Caenorhabditis elegans: one gene and its partner. The protein of the gene in region 1 purifies or fractionates together with the protein of each later gene. This does not show direct contact. Each region holds a gene or a part of one and is shown on either strand. Other genes may lie near its edges.

Region 1 (3,756 bases):
GCAAATACAGTAATCTTTAAATGGGCAAACTTTTTTGCATTTAAGAAAATCGTTCGTTTACCACCCCGACCGAGTACCTTATTTTTGGAGCAAAATTGAAACTTTTCACATGCCGGTAATAATAAATTCCAATCTCATGATATCCCGCCTATACCGTAACCAACGTTTGGAGTACGGTAGGTTACGGTATGATCGCAGTGAGACTTCGGATCCTTGATAGGCCCATTTTAAATAAACTAATTTTCAGAGTGAACCAATCAAATATTCTGGAAATCGTGATTTGGAAGATCTCAAGAAGTTCATGACCAAGCACGGTGTGAAGTCGTTCCAGAAGAAGGACGAGTTGTAAACAATTCAGAAGGAGCAATAATTCTGTGATATTTAAACTAATTTCTCTTTGTTTCTTTGTTATGAGTATTTATTTTTAGTTCTTGTTCATCATGCTTTTTTTGTCACTTTTCCCTCCCCAATCCCATATTCCTCTGCTTTTCTCTCATTTTCGGTTACGTGTATTAATTGAATGTATACGACGACGACAGTCACTAGTTTCGAAATAACTATTTTACGAGGATGAATAAACACACTGATCGCTGAGCGACGCTCCGAGCACTTTTCGAGAAGTTTCTAAGAAGCCACTTGACCGAGAGAGAGGGAGAAAGAAAAGCTTGGCATAGAAATGTGCTTGTGTTTATTTGAACTGTTAAAAGTGTTTGACGGGGGCGAAGTCACTGGGGAAACCTCGAGATCAATAGGACACGTGGCAATTTGAATTTTTGGATAATTGGAAAAGCAGTACCCGACTAAAGATCCGAATTTGATTTTCAGACATTTTACTGCAAACTTGATTACACACGGTAATTTTCCAAAAGTTTTGTGCATTGAATCCCGAAAAACTTCACAAACGCATAATATTACAACCCGATCTATGAGCAAAGTAAATAGAGAGAATCAGGCTGAAAGCTTATTGTGATTAATGAACATTAGGAACAATGCTGATTTCAATTTGAAACATTTTTTTTTCAGATCGAAAATCAGTTTTTTCAGATCGAAAATCACATTGGATCTTGACATTTTCAAGAGAATTATTAAAATTTAAATGGCTATTTGAAAAGTATTGATTTTCTGAAAGATAATAACTACTTACCATCTATGTCGTACCTGACTATGCCAATTATTTTCAACAATTGTTTATTTTAAAAAATTTTTGAAGTAAGCTTAAAACAAACCCAGGACCTCTGAAATGTACCAAGTTTGGAAACTAATTCCAAGTACTGGTAATAACAAAAATTTTGAATTCGAGGCGGATAAGCGCCAGTTGGGAGTTTTCTGATTATAATTATATTAATAGAATTGCCAAAAATCATGATAAACCCCTCCAATCATTTTTTGATTTTCGAAAAAGTTTCAATGTAGGTTTTGGTGAGCTGCGAAGTTTTCCAAAAATGTCTAAAAACTAAATTCATATGGTTCAATTTTTGTCAAAAACGTTCAGCTCATGAGGAGCTTGAAACTAACCAATAAATTTTGGTCATTAAATTGGTCAGTTAAATTGATAATTGAAATTAACCGGATATGTTTGGAAAAATAAATGCAAAAGTTCATGATCATCAGATCAAAAACCAAAAACTTCCCCTACATTTCTATTTCCAAATTGAAGATTTCTTGAAGCCTACAAATAGTACAGTTTACAAATATCTCTCCTTCTTTCTCTCGTCCCTTCTTGCGCATCCTCAGAGCTCGGAGCTCCTATCCGTCAATATAAACAATCATTGTTTCTTTTCTTCTCCTCGTACCTTTTTTCTTCTTCAAATCCATTTTTCCTCCGCCCCCTTATCCTACAGTCCAATTCCTTTCACTCTCCACTTTCTGAGCTTCTTCTCCAACTCGCAAAAGCTTCAAAGCTCACAGAGCATTTTACGATAGTGCATTGTAATGTTCTCCACCCTAGAGTGCATCTCCAACCTGCGCATATGTTTTCGCTCTTTGACATTACATTTTCTTCCGATTCACATTTTATTCATCCACCCGATAAATATATTTTCACACTTTTAATTTTCTAGAGAAAATGTCCGCTATCGAGGTGACCGCTGACGCCGCTTCCACCTGGGATTGGCCACTTCAACACAACGACGGAGTTGTCAAGGTTCGGGATATTTTTTCTCTTTAATAGAAGGCTCTGCAATTTTTATGAGCCAAAATTTAATAAAAACGCTCATTTTTTCTTTTTGGTTAAATTTGGAATATAAACCAACCACGACACTTTAGTAACTTAGACTACCTACTCTTGAAAAAATAAAACAACAATTTTCGAATGACGCTACAGTACCCCTACCTTAACACTACTTCATAGGAAACGTAATTTTTGATATTAATAAGTTCACAAATATATAGTAAATCATCAAATTTATCAATACAGTGAAAAGATGTTGTAATATGTTCAGAAATACCTTAGAAAACTTACTATGATCGCAATAGAAGCTGTATCAAAATTAAAGAAAACTATATTTATTTTGATAGCTTCTATCTGGATTTTCGATAAATTGCATTTGTATACTGGAATGAATAACTAGAATAGATTATGAGTTTTTCATATAAGCATAGTTTCAAATTACACTTGAAAAATCAGCATGTTCTGTAATCATATAGACACACTGTAAAATACAGTACTCTTCGCCTAGAGACGAAGAGTACAGTAGTTTACAGTGTGGAAAAGTACTCTGACAGTCGTAATGTTAACTCGTGTAAATTCTGACTGAATATTCTTAAATTTCAGGTCCACAACACCAAGGAAAAGTTCGAGGTCGGACTTGACGTTCAATTCTTCACTCCAAAGGAAATCGAGGTCAAGGTTTCCGGACAAGAGCTTCTCATCCACTGCCGTCACGAGGTAAGAGTTATAATTGGTATTTATAAAATTAGGAGGCTCCTTTTTCGACTTCAACTCACTGAAACTTACCCATTTTCTGAATTATATAAAATCTAACAAAAGAATGATACCTATGGTAGCATTGAATATTTGTTCCAAAATATCAAATTATAAAACTAAATACAGTAATATCGTCCTTCAAAAATTTCCACTGAACATATGACGTAGTAGTTAAAAGACAACAATATGAACCATATTTTGGGTCTCGCCACGCGGACAATGATTTACAGAATGATTTACAGTAGCTCGTGATGCCGTATCTTCTTTTTCAACTTAAGCAGCACAGATTTGTTTAAAGAAAAATATGCTGAACTAGATAGATAATTCTTATAAATAGAAGATTAATTGTATAACTCTCAACTTTCCAGACCCGCAGTGACAACCATGGAACCGTTGCCCGTGAAATCAACCGTGCCTACAAACTTCCAGATGACGTTGATGTTTCCACCGTCAAATCCCACCTCGCCACCCGCGGAGTTCTCACCATCACTGCTTCCAAGAAGGCTTAAATGTCTAGAACATGATTACAACCAAAAAAAACAATATTTTTCTCAATTGAATAATATCAAATTATTCTTCACTTAAATACTTTACATTTCTTTTTGACTAATCAAATATTGCAATACTTTCAATAAATGTACGACTTTATGTGTTTATGGAAAAATGCTATAAAAAGAAAATCATTTAAAAAAATACAAATTAGAAAAATGGCAAGATGCAAGACTAGACCATTGGTGATGGCTGTGAGAAAAACAAATGATAATAGAACTTTACACGAAAATTGATGATAAATCTCGAAATTTCTAGACTGTAGATTTTTTTCCAAAACG
Region 2 (3,756 bases), on another chromosome or scaffold:
ATCAGCAAGACATTGAAGAATTCTCCGACGCAGTTGTACTGATTTTGAGAAAAATATCTGCCAATTTGAAGAAAGTGAATCTAGAAGATCAGATAACTGATTTAGATGAACGAGGTCTCACTTTACAGACCGGAAATGTGGATGAACTTAAAGAAAGTAGGTTTGATGAGCGATTAAAAATAACCCTCATTAAAAAATATTATTTCAGTGCATGTTCGACTTCAAGAAGAGCTTATATCAATTGAGGATATGGAATTGGCGTTAAATGAAGAAATTGATAATTTGGAAACTGAGGAGAAAAAAATAGATCAGGAATTGGCGGGAGTCGGGAAGAATGTAGATTCAGATGGGCTCCGACAAGAGCTTGAAGAACGTCAAAAAAGGCTTGAAGATGAAGCTCCAGCTCGTTCACATGAAATGCAACAGTTAGAAGCAAATGTAGCAAGTATAAGAAATGAACTTCATTCAATTCCAGGATACTCTCAAGTGAGTCGATATGGTTCTATATTAGTTTTACCAATTATAAATTTATTCCAGCACAAAATGCTTCGCGAACGACTGGAAGCTGTTGAGAAACGTACTGCTGCAAAATCACTTGACATGAGCTTGAGGAAGACTGAAATTGACTACGAAGATATTAAAACAGAGGTGTGGATTTTTTCCTAATCGAGTTAACAATATTTTACTTAATTTCAGAGCATTCGACTTCAGGAAGAATACAATAACATGCTTTTGACCAATCCATTTCAAAGATTCACCTGATTTATTAATTTTTCACTAAATTTATTTATTAAATTTACATTGAATATGCTGAACTGTTCCTGAAACAGCAAAAAAATTATTGGAAAATACTAATTAAAAAATTGAAAAATCTTTGCCTACAGTAGCTTTAAGGAACACGACAAACTTTATCTGAACATGTCTCGTCACGACTACCGTACCTTGAAATTTTCCCGCCCGATTTTCGCAATTTTCTTGCTGATGAATTTCTTTGTTTCTTTCCTGATTTTCTCGATTTTTAATCGTGTTTTTGTTTTTAGAATTTTTGGAAATTTGAGGAGAAGATATATATCAAGTATGAAGCACCCTTTCCGCAAGGTCGCCGTAGTTCCTTTTTTGTTTCCGTCGTTTTACCCTTTTCGGCGATCTTTTTGATTGATAACGTTTAAGTAAGGCTAGTTTTAAATTGAGTTTTCTCAATTTTTCTTCAATTATAACATTTCCATCATTTTTGCAGTCAAATAATATTGTAATTCTATTTAAAATATCGTTTGATTATATTTTGAGAACCTTTATTGATTGACTGTTAAATATAACGAATATATTCAACAGCTTAAACAAACAAATAAAATAAGTTCTATCTGCGCGAAAAGCTACAAAGGATACGAAGAAAAGTCAAGAAATCAATTCAAAAATTATGCCTAATTTTACATAGCCTTTTTTTTTGCTTGATAACGATATATTCACAACATTTTCTGGCTAAAGAAAGGTGGAAACGTTTTGTTGTTCTTCCAAGTTGTAGCTCGGGGGGCCGAAAAAAGTAGGCGCGATGCGGTCGACCGCGACGCAACTCATTTCTCTGCTTCTCTTTATTTCAGTAATCTTTGTTTCGTGGCGTGGTCTCGAGAAATAAATAGACGCAGGGTGTGGTGAGAAAATTGTCCGCAACCACCGCCCGGCAGCTAGATATTGAACCAATATCTCACGATAAACTTTTACCCTTTGCATACATGCTAAAATGAGAATTAAGAATACAGTTTTTATAGTAATCTGAACTTTTCGTTTTTTAAATGCCTGATAAGATTAGTTACTCGGGCTTCTGCCACGTAACATTCGTCTCTGCGTATCTCATCTTTGAACAAGCAATTTTCGTTGGCCGAGGTTTTGCGCTGCGGTCAAAACTAGGCCTTTGACGAGTTACACAAGTTGAATCCTAAACATTTTCAATCTGATCATGATAGAAACTTCTCGAATAAGCCTTTTGTCTTTTTTTAATCTCATTTTTGAAAAAAGGATATTGAAGTATGCGTTTCAATTATATTTCGTTTTACAGAACTACTCAAAATGTCGTCAGTTTCGTCCGCCGAGCCAACTGCTCAACAAAATTTCAATCCAAGCTGGTATGTGTTTGAATCTTAAAAAATAATTATTATTTAAAATTAAATGGAGTTTTTTCCAAGTAATCTAAGATATTTTTCATTTTTAACCTCTAGTTTTGAATCATAGAGCAAATGATTTTTAAATGCGTTCTTTTCAACTAAGAAGTTTATCGCTCGTATTTTTTTGTTAAAAAGGCTCTACTCGATCGTGTTTGTAGCAATATTAAAAGAAAAATAAAATAAATAATGCCGAAAACCAAAATAAAACCCAAATTCTCAAACTTGTACCTTTTTTACCACAAATTTGCTGACTGCAGCTGAAAAAATGAATAATATGAATTCCAGAATATAAAAGTTAGCAAAATCAATTAGAAATCCAAGCCACAAGTTCTTTCTTAAAATTGCGTTAAAGTCATTTCAGGATGCGTCCAAATGCTGCTAACCGTGGTGGCTCAATTTCTTCGGGAAACAATCGTTCCTCTGGATTTGGTGGGGGTGGATTTGACGATGGCGGCGATGTGAGTTTCAGAATCTACGGGAAAAAACCAGCACGTTCCACAAATATATTCTTAGCACATCTCATAATCTAGAAATTTAGAAAAAAAAGGAAAATAATTTATTTACAATTTTGTGTTTATTGGGTCATGGTCCCCGTGGTACCCGGTTTTAATATTATAATCGTCTGTCACAACATTACATCAAAAACTAAATAATTATGAATTTAGATTTTAGAATATACCTCTCAAAGTCGGGCTATCACTGACTCCCTCCCTCCATGACAAAAAACTCTTATTTTTAAAAAAAACTGAAAATGTGTTCAATTAGGAAATCTCCTCTTCGGCAATCGCTGCTGCAGCCGCCGCGGTCCTCTCTTCGCCAGTGGTTTCGGAATTCTCGTACACGCGCGAACGTCTTCTCGAGCTGGCTCCAACCGGATCGATTATGCCTGATGCGTTGCGCGATCAGCTATTTTTCAACGAGAAGAACCTGCCGCTCGTCTCGAACACGCCTCTCAGTGAACATGAACAGGTAGGGATACCACAAGAGTTTTAGAATTAGAAATAATGAAATTTATCCCACTATTGTCTGACGATTTCCAATTTTGCATGGTACTTTTTTGATAATTGACAGATTTGTTTAGGATCTATGTTTAGGATCTATATTTTATTATTCGTGTGCACATTGTATTCTAGAATTTGATGTGAACTTCTATTTTATCCAGTTTCACTGACTCTTTCGTCTAAACAAGAAAAGTATAGTGTGTCCTTGGAGGGAGGAAGGCATAGCGAGACTTTATGAGGCTCTTTGCTGTTCGTATCCCACCATTTCACTTTCCTAATGATCGGAGTAATTTGTGTTATCGAATAAGTTTATTTGTTAAACACTTTTAAGTTGAAAATGCTTAGTTTTTTCGTTTCATGTTTATGTTCCGTGGTAGAGTAGTTATTCTCTAATAAAATTTCTAACAAATCCTATTCATGAAAATTATATATTTCATTTTCAGAAACTGCAACACAACATAAACTCTTCGAAAGCAATGTCTCTTTTATCGCACGCTGATCGAGCCTCAATTGCTGCTGGAGCTGCTTATGGAAGTGGATATGGAGCCGCTTCCGGAGCACTTCAAAACGGACAATCACCAACCAGTCGCTGGGCT

Evidence for each region.
Region 2: the proteins of hsp-12.2 (region 1) and gyf-1 fractionate together in Caenorhabditis elegans (co-fractionation; one large-scale study listed by BioGRID). This does not show direct contact.

What each region holds. Positions count from the first base shown.
Region 1 is NC_003281.10:8,136,056-8,139,811, forward strand, and holds hsp-12.2 (Heat shock protein Hsp-12.2), read left to right. Parts: upstream 1-2,021; 5' UTR 2,022-2,065; coding exon 2,066-2,143; intron 2,144-2,773; coding exon 2,774-2,887; intron 2,888-3,294; coding exon 3,295-3,435; 3' UTR 3,436-3,576; downstream 3,577-3,756. Other genes in the region: C14B9.2 (putative protein disulfide-isomerase A4), read left to right, coding at 248-349.
Region 2 is NC_003280.10:6,682,185-6,685,940, forward strand, and holds the start of gyf-1 (GYF domain-containing protein gyf-1), read left to right. Parts: upstream 1-2,053; 5' UTR 2,054-2,064; coding exon 2,065-2,120; intron 2,121-2,511; coding exon 2,512-2,617; intron 2,618-2,924; coding exon 2,925-3,128; intron 3,129-3,348; exon of another isoform or gene 3,349-3,497; intron 3,498-3,603; coding exon 3,604-3,756. Other genes in the region: ift-74 (Intraflagellar transport protein 74 homolog), read left to right, coding at 1-156, 209-486, 538-648, 697-762.